Linked DNA regions of Ovis aries. The protein of the gene in region 3 interacts with the protein of the main gene of each other region in a biochemical or structural test. Links are inferred from orthologs where the notes say so. Each region holds a gene or a part of one and is shown on either strand. Other genes may lie near its edges.

What was found.
Region 1: the proteins of NHERF2 (region 3) and SLC9A3 form a complex in vitro, tested with the Homo sapiens proteins (2 studies listed by BioGRID and IntAct, with this or other methods). The link is inferred for Ovis aries from reciprocal best matches to the Homo sapiens genes NHERF2 and SLC9A3.
Region 2: the proteins of NHERF2 (region 3) and RPS6KA1 interact in a test that uses a peptide from one of them, tested with the Homo sapiens proteins (2 studies listed by BioGRID and IntAct). The link is inferred for Ovis aries from reciprocal best matches to the Homo sapiens genes NHERF2 and RPS6KA1.

Annotation. Positions count from the first base shown.
Region 1 is NC_056069.1:71,683,425-71,687,064, forward strand, and holds part of SLC9A3 (sodium/hydrogen exchanger 3), read left to right. Parts: coding exon 1-88; intron 89-1,115; coding exon 1,116-1,231; intron 1,232-1,658; coding exon 1,659-1,788; intron 1,789-1,970; coding exon 1,971-2,147; intron 2,148-2,274; coding exon 2,275-2,347; intron 2,348-2,797; coding exon 2,798-2,908; intron 2,909-3,192; coding exon 3,193-3,436; coding exon of another isoform or gene 3,437-3,440; intron 3,441-3,604; exon of another isoform or gene 3,605-3,640. UniProt on the Homo sapiens protein: Plasma membrane Na(+)/H(+) antiporter. Exchanges intracellular H(+) ions for extracellular Na(+) in 1:1 stoichiometry, playing a key role in salt and fluid absorption and pH homeostasis.
Region 2 is NC_056055.1:240,316,164-240,319,803, reverse strand, and holds part of RPS6KA1 (ribosomal protein S6 kinase alpha-1), read left to right. Parts: intron 1-723; coding exon 724-830; intron 831-1,800; coding exon 1,801-1,838; intron 1,839-2,177; coding exon 2,178-2,320; intron 2,321-2,735; coding exon 2,736-2,806; intron 2,807-3,119; coding exon 3,120-3,208; intron 3,209-3,640. UniProt on the Homo sapiens protein: Serine/threonine-protein kinase that acts downstream of ERK (MAPK1/ERK2 and MAPK3/ERK1) signaling and mediates mitogenic and stress-induced activation of the transcription factors CREB1, ETV1/ER81 and NR4A1/NUR77, regulates translation through RPS6 and EIF4B phosphorylation, and mediates cellular proliferation, survival, and differentiation by modulating mTOR signaling and repressing pro-apoptotic function of BAD and DAPK1.
Region 3 is NC_056077.1:2,098,199-2,102,282, forward strand, and holds the start of NHERF2 (Na(+)/H(+) exchange regulatory cofactor NHE-RF2), read left to right. Parts: upstream 1-1,194; 5' UTR 1,195-1,335; coding exon 1,336-1,548; intron 1,549-3,861; coding exon 3,862-4,062; intron 4,063-4,084.

The DNA.
Region 1 (3,640 bases), on a different chromosome or scaffold from region 3:
GAGAAGGTCAGCTCAGAAGTCTCGAGATCGGATTCTGAACGTTTTCCACGAGCTCAATTTGAAGGATGCCATCAGCTATGTGGCCGAGGTACTGGCCGTCTCATCTGCTCTTTTGTAGGAGTGTCGGGGGAGGGCAGGAAGAGGTGAGACAGACCCGTGTGTGGACAGTGCTGGGGTCTGCACCCTGAGGCCCGGGCAGGGGTGGGGCAGCTGGTGAGCGACACACAGTCTTCTTGTTGCCCCAGCCGCAGTTCACCTGAGCTCAAGGGCCCTCAGGCACCCTGAAAGTGGGGTTCACCACAGCTCCCGCTCTGCGGTGCTGGGTCTGAGGTCACAGACCCCAGTGAGCACAAGCTCCAGGCTCCAGCCGGGGCGAGGCCATGGGCGCAAGGCCTGTCTTCTGCACCTCCAACCAGCTGAGGAAATTCAGAGCAGGAATCCCGGCCCCTCTGACCGTGAGCCTTTGAGGCCTCGCTGCCTCCCTGGGGCTGGGAAGGTGGGTGGTGACCCCTGCTGGCTGCATCCTCTCCTGGGGACCCTCTATGGCCCCCAGTTCCCACTGGTGACAGGCTCCCAGCAGGGCACCAGCCTCCCTTCCCCCCTGCCGCCTGCCACCTTGGTGCCTATGATGCAGGCCTGTGGGCTCCTCTGCACCGCGGTTGTGCCCGTGAACAACGCCCACAGCACCAGCTTTGCCATAGCAGGTTGGCCCTCAGCTGGCTGCCCTCCCCAGCTCCACCCTCTCCCTGGAGGGCCAGTTGCTCTCCTAGGGCACCTCACTCGGCAGTGTGACCTCCATGCCTGTGCACTCTGCTCTGCCTGGTTTTCGCCTGACTCTGGAGGCTGGGGTTTCTCTTCTGGGGAAAACTAGGGCAGCTGGTTTGGAGCCCCCGTGGGGACAGGGCCTCTTCCCCCATCCCGTGGGGATTCCCCACGCTCCCTGAGGCACCAAGTCCTTTGCACAAGCCTCCGTGAGCCTCCCAGCTCCAGCGGGGCCTCCACCGTGGTTTCTGGGGTCTTGGCTTTCCCAGGTGCCTCGGGGTCAGTGCACAGCACCCCAGGGTGGGGCTCCCTGGGGCCAGGCCAGTGACTGACAAGGCCACCTCCTCTCGCAGGGAGAGCGCCGTGGGTCCCTGGCTTTCATCCGTTCTCCCAGCACGGACAACATGGTCAACGTGGACTTCAGCACCCCACGCCCCTCCACTGTGGAGGCCTCTGTCTCCTACCTCCTGTAGGTCCCCAGAGCTGCTGTGGGCCAAGCTCTCTCCAGGCTCCCCGACCAAACCACAGGCATGACCAGCGGGCCTCTTGGGGCTGCCCACATGGGAAACAGGCAGAGGCGGTGGCGTCTGTCACCTGTCGTGTCAGTCGGCTGGCTGGAGTGCGGCAGTGAGCCAGGGCCCAGCAGCCCGCTTAAGGAGCGCCCCCTCCCCACCACCAAAGACAGGGTGCTGGTCACAGATTCCAGGCCTCCAGCCTCTGCCCTGTCAGTGCAGGGCGGTTCTGGGTATCACTGCTGGCGCTTTGGAGGGGCAGGTGCACTGCGGGGTCAGTCTTAAACCGGAGGCAGAGAAGGTCTCATCGGGATGACCCCAGGCCCCAGGGGTGCAGGCGGGAGGGCAGGTGGTGTGCCCACTTGCTCACCAAGGCCCTCGCAGGAGGGAGAACGTGAGTGCCGTGCGCCTGGACATGCAGTCCCTGGAGCAGCGGCGGCAGAGCATCCGGGATGCGGAGGACATGATCACCCACCACACGCTGCAGCAGTACCTGTACAAGCCCCGGCAGGAGGTGGGTGCGCCCTCCAGAGCCAGCGCCCTGCCCGTCCTGCCCCAGGGCAAAGCATGGCCCTACTTAGTGCAGGTCGCTCCTGGGGGGGGGGGGCGGGGCGCAGCCCAGGCCCTGCGGACACGACCAGCTAACCCTAACCACCCCTCCCATCCCCACCCCACCCCCCTGCCTCCCCGCCACAGTACAAACATCTCTACAGCCGACATGGGCTGACCGCGGATGAGGACGAGAAGCAGGACACCGAGATCTTCCACAGGACCATGCGGAAGCGCCTGGAGTCCTTCAAGTCCGCCAAGCTGGGGATCAACCCCCACAAGAAGGCCGCTAAGCTGCTCAAGAGGGAGCGCGCCCAGAAGCGGGTGAGAGGGCACACTTGGGCAGGCACCACCGAGGGGGCACCCTGGTGGCAGGGCAGAGGCCTCCCTGGGGTGGACAAGCAGATCAGGCAGGACCCAGAGCTGTGAGCGGTTTCCTTCTGCTCCTCAGAGAAACAGCAGCATTCCCAACGGGAAACTGCCGATGGTGAGCTCCCTGCAGGACTTCACCATCAAGGAGAAAGGTAGGCTGGGCTATGGCTGGACGCTGGTCCGCAGGAGCTGAGGGGCACCTGAGGGCAGCCGGGTGCAGATGGCTGTCTTTCCAGGAAGCCGGTGCCCTGGGCACCAGGGCCCTCCTCACAGGCTGCAGCCACTGTGGGGGCAGGGCTGCGACCTGGGCTTCCCATCCCCTTCCTCTGTGGCCCGCCCCCTTCTCCAGTTGCCACCCCCCCTCCTCGAGAAGACCGAGTGTGGTCCTCTCTGCCCAGCCCTATCCTGGTGTGGCCAGGTGGGCACCACGGTCCACTGAGCTGCCCAGAGGCCGCTAAGTGGGGGCGGCAGACACGAGGACCCTGGGCGCGGCGGGGGTTGGGGGCGGCGGTGAGCGGGTCCGGGGCGGTTGGTCAAGGGCTCAGACGAGGTCATCTGCGCTTCCAGCCTGTCCCCTTACGCTGTCCCTTCCCTGTCACCAGATTTGGAACTCTCAGACACTGAGGAAGCCCCCAACTATGATGATGAGATGAGTGGCGGGATCGAGTTCCTGGCAAACATCGGGCAGGACACAGCGACAGACTCCCCCTCAGGTGAGGGGGCACGGCCCTGCGCTACCCGCAGGCGATCCCTGGCGGGAGGCCCAGGCGGTGGAGCGCGGTTCACGCGGCCGCGCAAGCGCGGGCACGGGCAGAGGCCTCCGCTCTGAGAGAGGAGAGCGAGAGCCGGCGCAGGGCCCGACCCCCAGAGGCCCGAGACCTTCCAGGTGACCTTCCGTGTGGCCGAGGCCGAGCTGCTGTCTGACCCAGGGCCGCTGCCTCCCTCTCTGCCCTTCCGGGGAGCGAGGGAAGCTGACGACCGCCGCCCTCTCTCCTAGGAATTGACAACCCCGCGTTTTCCCTGGAGGAGAGCCCCGGCATCCTCTCTGGGGTGCCGCCCTGGCTGTGTCCCGGGGAGGCGGTGGTGCCCTCCCAGAGGGCCCGCCTGCAGATCCCCCACTCCCCCGGCAACTTCCACCGCCTGGCGCCCTTCCGCCTCAGCGGCAAGTCCGTGGACTCGTTCCTGCTGGCCGACGGCCCCGAGGAGCAGCCGCACGCCGCCCCGCCCGAGTCCACACACATGTAACTGGCCCGCGGCCCCCGCGCCGGCCCCCGCTCCTCTCAGCGCCGCCTCAGCCCCGCGCGTCGCGCTCTCTCCGCCGCCGCCTCCCCCTGCTCTCACCAGCCTCAGCCTCTCTTCCAGCCGCGCTTCTTTCTCCAGGCCCTTCTGATTTCCTGCTTCTCCCGCGAGCGGGGGCGGGGCGTCCCCGCGGAGTGAGGGTCCCT
Region 2 (3,640 bases), on a different chromosome or scaffold from region 3:
CTCCCTCGTCTAGGTAAACATTTTTCTTTTCTAAATTTCCCATGTTTCTTTGGGAAAAAAATACAAACCAATTCAATGTATGATCTGAATCCTGACCCCTACTTTCTTACATGCAGGATACTGTTCTATATATACTGTACTTTGCTTTCTTCATGGCAGGGTGTTTTGGAGTGACTTGGCGCCTCTATCTTGGCGATGGATCTGTAGCCATCCACCGTATGGAGGGATCCTCGTTCTAGTTTATGGTTGCATTGTTGTTTAGTTGCCAAGTCGTGTCTGACTCTTTGCGACCCCATGGACTGTAGCCTGCCATGGTCCTCTGTCCATGGGAATTTCTAGGCAAGAATACTGGAGTGGGTTGCCATGCCCTCCTCCAGGGGATCTTCCCGACCCAGATGCTGAACCCATGTCTCCTGCTTGGCAGGCGGATTCTTCATCACTGAACCACCTGGGAACCCCGCATGGCTGGCATAGCACTCCGTTATGTGGGAAGGAGACAGTTCAGTTTACTGCTTGACCCTTGAGCTGTCTCCAGCCTTTCCCTATGTGCCTTTCAACGCTACCGTGAGCGACTTGCATATTAGTCAGTTCATTCTTCAAACCCCTTCATAAAGAGAAGGGGTATGGAATCTCTTAGGAGGACGGGGAAGCTGCTGACTGCCCAGTGCCCCAGCTCCTGAGAAAGGGGTGATCCCGGCTGAAGCCCCCTCCCGCCTGTTGCAGGTTATGTTCACGGAGGAGGATGTGAAGTTTTACCTGGCCGAGCTGGCTTTGGGCCTGGACCACCTGCACAGTCTAGGCATCATTTACAGAGACCTGAAGCCTGAGAAGTGAGTGAAGGCCCAGCTCTGCCCAGCTCCCTAGGGTGTGCAGAGGCAGGCCCCAGGAGCCTCTTCTAGAGCACAGCCAGTCTGAGGGGGTTGGGGGGGACTCCCCCTGAGAAAGTCCCCCTCTCTTGGGTTGCCCCCAGAACGGGTGGGTGGAGCAGAGTGGTGGTGGCAGGCTCGCCTGGGGGGCTGCCTCATCACTAGGGCTGCCATCACCAAGCACCAGGTACCTCTGTGCCTGGGTATTGCCTATCTTTTTTGCTAATCCAGTATGACATCTGAGATGCCACCGTTAAAGGCCCTTCCTTGATATGACCCTCTGTAGAATTTTCCTTAACATCTAAATATCCTCAAGTGGTAACTTGGGAGCCAGGGGCAGGTGCTTATGTGGAGTGAGATGTGGCTTTAGAGTCAGGCAGAAAGTGAAAAGTGAAAGTGTTAAGTCACTCAGTTATGTCCAACTCTTTGCAACCACTTGGACTGTAGCCCACCAGATTCTTCTGTCCGTGGAATGCTCCAGCCAAGATCATTGGAGTAGGTAGCCAGTCCTTTTTCCAGGGGATATTCCTGACCCAGGGATTGAACTTGGGTCTCCTGCATTGCAGGCAGATTCTTTACCATCTGAGCCACCGGGGAAGCACAGAGTCAGGCAGACCTGAATTCAAATCTAATCTCTGCCACCTCCTAACTCTCTGACTAGGGGAGTTATTTAACCTCCCTGGGCCTTAACTTCCCCATCATTAAAATGGGGCCATGTAAGTACCTACCTCACACAGTTGTTTCAAGAATTAGCGGAAAGGTAGGCAACACTCCTGTGCGGCACCGCCGGTCCCTGCGCCACCCACCCGTTCATCAGCCGGACCTGGTGGGCCAGCTTCCCTGGGCTGAGCCCAGCCCCTACAGACCTGTGACGTCACCTGACCCCACAAAAGGCCCACGACTGAGGGGCCCTGACCCCCTCTCTCCATTGCAGCATCCTTCTGGATGAGGAAGGCCACATCAAACTCACTGGTGAGTGGAGGGCACCTGCCCCTCCGGTTTCAGGGGAGGGCAGGATGGGCTCTAGATGGACCTGGGCTGAGGGCTAGGGTATCTGCTTATCCTGAGAGGCTGTGCCAGGCACTTAGAAGTGGTCAAAAGTCCAGGCCTGGCATGACCTGGGTTTGAATCCCAGGTCCCCACTGTGTAATGCTGAGCAGACCATCTCACCCCCCTGGGCCTCGGCTTCCTCCTGTGTACCATAGCGGTGATGCCCTCAGGCCTCTGGGCAGGGGGGCATGGGTGTGCAGGGGTGGCAGCGAGGAAGGCAGGGGGTCCTGAAGGTGTGTCCGCTTGTGCTTCTTGCCACAGACTTCGGTTTGAGCAAGGAAGCCATCGACCATGAGAAGAAGGCCTATTCCTTCTGCGGGACGGTGGAGTACATGGCCCCCGAGGTCGTCAACCGGCAGGGCCATTCCCACAGTGCAGACTGGTGGTCCTATGGGGTGTTGATGGTGAGTGCCCAGGCAGTGGTAGAGCACCCAGCATCCAGCCCAGGCACTGGGGCTCAGTTTCCCCACCTGTGGGGCACAGGGTCAGGGGAGGGTGGCTGCTGGTCTCTGAGGCTCTTCTCTTGTCCTCTCATAGCTAAGCTGGCCTCACACTCCTCCGAGCTGCAGTTTCCTTCCTTGGAAGGATTCCGGGCTTGGCCCCACCTGGGGTGCCCCCTGCCCCATACTGGGCCTCTCCCCAGCCTCAGGCCCCTAGTTCTGCTCCTGGTGGTCTGATTGATGGAGAGGGGAGGGACACACACAGTTCTTGATCCAGGTGGACCTCCTGGGCGGGGGGCTGAGCGGCTGGCCCGGGTGGGAGGAGGTGGGGGGCCTGAGGGGCGGGACCAGAGCCTGAACGGATCCTTGTTCCCTGCAGTTTGAGATGTTGACGGGCTCCCTGCCCTTCCAGGGGAAGGACCGGAAGGAGACTATGACTCTGATTCTGAAGTAAGCTCCAGCCTCTCTGACACCTCCAGGTGTCTCCTCTTCTTGGCCTAGTTTGGGGGCCAGACTAACACCCCGCACCTATCCTCACATCCTCCAAGAGCGAGACACTCCGCTGGTTTGAGTGCCGCGCTTTTGCTAGGGCCCCCTGTTCACCCACAGGGGCCTGTGGGTAGAGAATCCTGAGTCTCTGGGAGGGAAGTTAGTGGACGGCTTGTCTGGACTGAGCTGGAAATGAGACGTGGACAGAGGCGGGAGGTAAGACGGGGCCTCCGGGGCGGAGCTCAACCCTGACGAGACCCGGGGGCCATTGCAGGGCGAAGCTAGGCATGCCCCAGTTTCTAAGCACGGAAGCCCAGAGCCTCCTGCGGGCTCTGTTCAAGCGGAATCCTGCCAACCGGCTTGGTAAGTAGCCCCAGCCCAGGGGAGGGGAGCGGGTACAGCTGTGGCCTAGGCCACGGGGCCACATCTGGGGCTGAAAGGAGCCGTTGTCCTTTGTGTGGGCAGACAATGCCGGCGGCCACCCTGCCTTCTGGCCCCATGTGTGGAGTGTGGGGCGGGGGGGTGACCTGTGTCTGGGGGAAAGCAGGAACTGAGTCATCTCCACTCCCCCTGGGGATGAGGACAGAGGCCGGCACGGCTCCTCCGCCAAGGCTGCTGGCTCAGAAGAAGGGGCACGAGTTCAGGCGCCAGGGGCTCGGGACCCCACTGCTGGCACGCGGTGGTCCCTCCACAGATACTGTGGTCGGATGAGTGCTGTTTGTGAGCAGAGTGACCCAAAGCAGTTGACATGTCCCCCCGGAGCCTGAGGTCCTTGTCTCCACCAGGGACAATGGT
Region 3 (4,084 bases):
CTGAAGAGTGTGGGCTTGGAATCACACCCCCCACCCCTGAATCCTGTATGGGTCTCTTCCTTCTCCAGACCTGTTTCCTGTAAAATGGCCTGAGCCCTCAAGGGTTGTTCCGGGTAGCATGTACTCAGAGAGATGCACGAAGAATAAGCAGCTGTCCATCGGTTGGGAGAAGGGGGCATTCATTTTGGAGGAGGTGGAGGGAGGGGAGGGGAGGACGGGCTTGGGGGCAGGAGGGTCTAGCTGGCACCCAAGCCGTCAGTGCATTTCATCCCAGGTCGAGAGGAGGGGCAAAGACCCCTTCCTTCCAGCCAGACAAGTGCATTCATTCCCTCACCCTCTGCAGTCACCCACCGGGCGGGGGGTGGGCAGGGACAGGAGTGCGGGTCCTGCTAGAGGGAGGGGCTAGTAGGGGGAATGTTTACTGGTCCAGCACAGCACAGAGAGGCACAGACACTCCTGGAGAGGGCCATGAAGTCACTCAGCCTGGCCTCCAGGATATAGGGAGGGGCCGCTGCCTGGTCAGTTTCAATCCCCTCTTTTTGCCTCCAGGACCATCCAGGCACTTGGTGCTGGGTACAGGAGGGATCCTGATAGAGGAACGGGGCATGGGAGAGGGGAGGGGGCTTCCCGAGGAGGGTGGGCAGAGCCATGGCCCTGTGGCCCCTGGGTGGGGGTCCTTCAGCCTAAGGACCCTTTCTCAGCCCCTCCTCCCACCTCAGGGGCCTGCCTCCATTCCTGTGCTGTTCATTTAGTAGGCGCGTGGTACTAGTGGTAAAGAACCCACCTGCCAATGCAGCAGACGTGAGATACGGGTTCGATTCCTGGGTTGGGAAGATCCCCTGGAGAAGGAAATGGCAATTCACTCCAGTATTCTTGCCTAGGGAATCCCATGGACAGAGAAGCCTGGCGGACTACAGTCCACCGGGTCGCAAAGTCAGCACTCACCCAGTGTTACTGGGATAGGATGCTGCCCAGAATGGGGGCTAGATATAGGGGTCGTGGTGATTCGGGGGGTCCCCTGGCCCTGCAGTCTTCCTCCCGGCCTCCCTGGGCTGGCGTGGCCCGAGGCAGGGGAATGGCCAGGGTGGCTTGGACCCGGGGCGGGGGCGGCAGGGCGGAGGGGGCGGAGAAGGGGCGGGCGCGGGGGCGGTGCCGCAGCCAGAGCCCGAGCCCGAACCGGAGGCGACGGGAGCCGAGCCGAGCTGGAGCCTCCGAGGCCGCCACCGGGTCCTCAGCGACGCCGCCGCCTCCGCGCCGCCCCAGCGCCCCTGCCCGCCCTGCGACGGGCGTGAGCGCCGTGGCCAGCCCTTGGCCGGCCGGTGGGCAGCGGGCGCCATGGCCGCACCAGAGCCCCTGCGGCCGCGCCTGTGTCGCCTGGTGCGCGGCGAGCACGGCTACGGCTTCCACCTGCACGGGGAGAAGGGCCGCCGCGGGCAGTTCATCCGGCGCGTGGAGCCCGGTTCCCCCGCCGAGGCGGCCGCGCTGCGCGCCGGAGACCGGCTGGTCGAGGTCAACGGCGTCAACGTGGAGGGCGAGACGCACCACCAGGTGGGTGTCTGCGCTCCGCCACCGGCCCGCCGGCCCGCAGACCCGCCGCGCACCCCCACCCCGCAGCCCCAGCGCGCGTCCCTGCCCCGCGCGCCGGTGACCACCGGGCTCGGTGCTGCCTGCGCCCAGGCCTCCGTCCCTTCTCCGAGGCAGGAGGGGATCGCACAAGGGCCTCTGTGGGCTCCCGTGGAGAGGCGGGGGACGTGGCCCCCGAGGCCGCGGCGGCCGGCCTCCTTCCGCGCCTCCTCCACCCGGGTCGGTCCTGCACCGAGGGGGGTGGATCCTGGCAAGGGAGGGGCCCGCACTGCGGCTCCTGCGGGTCTCAGTCCTGGCTCTTCGCTCTTGGTCTTGTTCCGGCGCAGGGCAGTGTGTGGAGGAGCTGGCACCTCGGGGGTCTCCGTGAGCCTGGGACCCCGGTGCTTTTCACCCAGCGTGTATATATGTGCGTGTGTGAATGTGTGTGAACGCAGGGCCCTCGAGTGCACCTGCCGCGGATTTCACAGCGAGGGCACACCTGTGTGTGGGCGCATCAGTTGAGTGAGTGTGTGTGCTGGACTGTGTGCATATGATTATATAGGTTTGCACCCCTAGATGTGTGCGTGTGTGTGTCCAGGTCTGCCTTCCTGGAGGTGTGTGAACTGGGGGGTGTGTGTGTGTGTATCCTCCTGTGTGTGGCTGCGTGTATACGTGTCCCAGCTGTGTGTCTGCCGGCCGGGCTGTGTGTATTCTTCTGTGTGTGTCTGCAGCCTGGTGTACTAGTGTGTGTTCTGGCCCAGGGTGTCTGGATCCTGGTGGGAGTTGCCGCTGGTGGCAACACATTCCTGTCCTCAGAGGCTGCTGGGCGGCCTGGCTGGGATCGCAGGTCGCAGCCCCTGCCTCTTGCAGCGGAAGATAAAGGCCAGAAGGAGGTTCTCTGCAGGTTCTAACCCCCAGGGGGTGTCCAGTGACTCACATGGCTCAAGACCAGTCTTCTTCACCCCTTCTACTTAGGGTCCTCTGTGTCCCTCACCCCACCTTTTGCAGGACCAGCCCTGGGCCTTGAGAGTCATAAACTGGCTCCTGGTTGGGCTGGGGGCTGCCCTTTGCTTATATCCTTGGAGGTTTTGTGTTTCCCCTTGTCAGCTGTCTTTCTGTCGTCTACTCAGAGTGTCAGCTGGATGGACTGTTTGCTGAAGGAGGGTGAGGGTCAGGGCTGAGAGCTTGGATGGACAGGCCATGGGGAGGGCCTGGCCTCTGTTTAATCATTGTCGCCACCTTTGCCCCAAGAGTGAAGCTTGCTTGTCCCAGGCCTCCTGGGGTGCTGGTCTCTAGGAACCTCAGACACAGGACCCTGTGAGACCTTCCTACTGTCTGGGCAGGGAGAAGGTACAGTTCCAGTTCCCATTTTACAGATGAGAAAACTGATCCTTGGAGATACTGGGTGACTCGTCTGTGTCCCACAGTCAGGAAGCATCGGGGTCCAGGGTTCCTGTGACTCTGGGAGTGATGGGGAGAGACAGGTGTAGAGGAGGGCTGGGGCAAAGATGGGCCCGGTTCAGACCCTCCTCTTTTGATAGCATCTACTGGGCCCCACCGGTCCTTCCCGAGGCCTTGGGGAGGGGTTGGGTGTTGCCCTCCCTAAACCAATGCCCAGTGGGCACTGCCCTCCTGCAGGCACACACTGGCAGGTATGGTCTTGCACGTGCTCTAGACACGTCACAGACACTGCGTAACGACACCTACCCCTGCCCACCTCTGCCTACGGCCTCTGAATCCCGCTTTCTGGGTTGTGGGTGTGCACCTGAGTAGGCGCCTTGCCACAGGACCGCAGGTGGTCTCCCCGCTGCTCTAGCAGGAATAAGTTCAAGGTCGTGGTCTGGAAGAGAACAGAAGGCCTAGAGGCAGAAGTTTAGACCGTGTTCCACTCCTGGAAAGACAGAGATAGGCACAGAGACCCCGAGCCTGGGACCCAGGGAGTCACTTCTCCCCTTCAAACCCAGACCTAGAGACACCTTGAACTAGAAGGCTGCAGGCTGCAGGCCATACACAGGCACATACCCGCAGACTGAAAACCTGAAGCCCAGCCGAACACGGTCATTGTCACTTCCCAGGCCCTTGCAGCCTGGGCCCTGGTGCCTGCAGCCCCGGGAGAAAAGGGAGGCAGCTGCTGGAGCCGGGGGTGGGGGGTGGGGCCAGCGGGCCTCTCAGTCCAGCCGCCCACCGCTGCCTGGGCTCGTGGCCTGCCTGCCGCCCTGGGCCAGCCCGGGGTGGGGCCGCTGCCCTGTGCTGCCTGGAGTGCCGGCTGTGACTCGGTCCCACACTCGCCTACCCCAGGTGGTGCAGAGGATCAAGGCCGTGGAGGGGCAGACGCGCCTGCTGGTGGTGGACAAGGAGACAGACGAGGAGCTCCGCCGGCGGCAGCTGACCTGCACCGAGGAGATGGCCCGGCGAGGGCTGCCGCCAGCCCATGACCCCTGGGAGCCGAAGCCAGACTGGGCACGAGCGGGCAGCCTCAGCTCCGAGGCCACCCAGGAGGTACAGTGGGCTCTGCTCACAG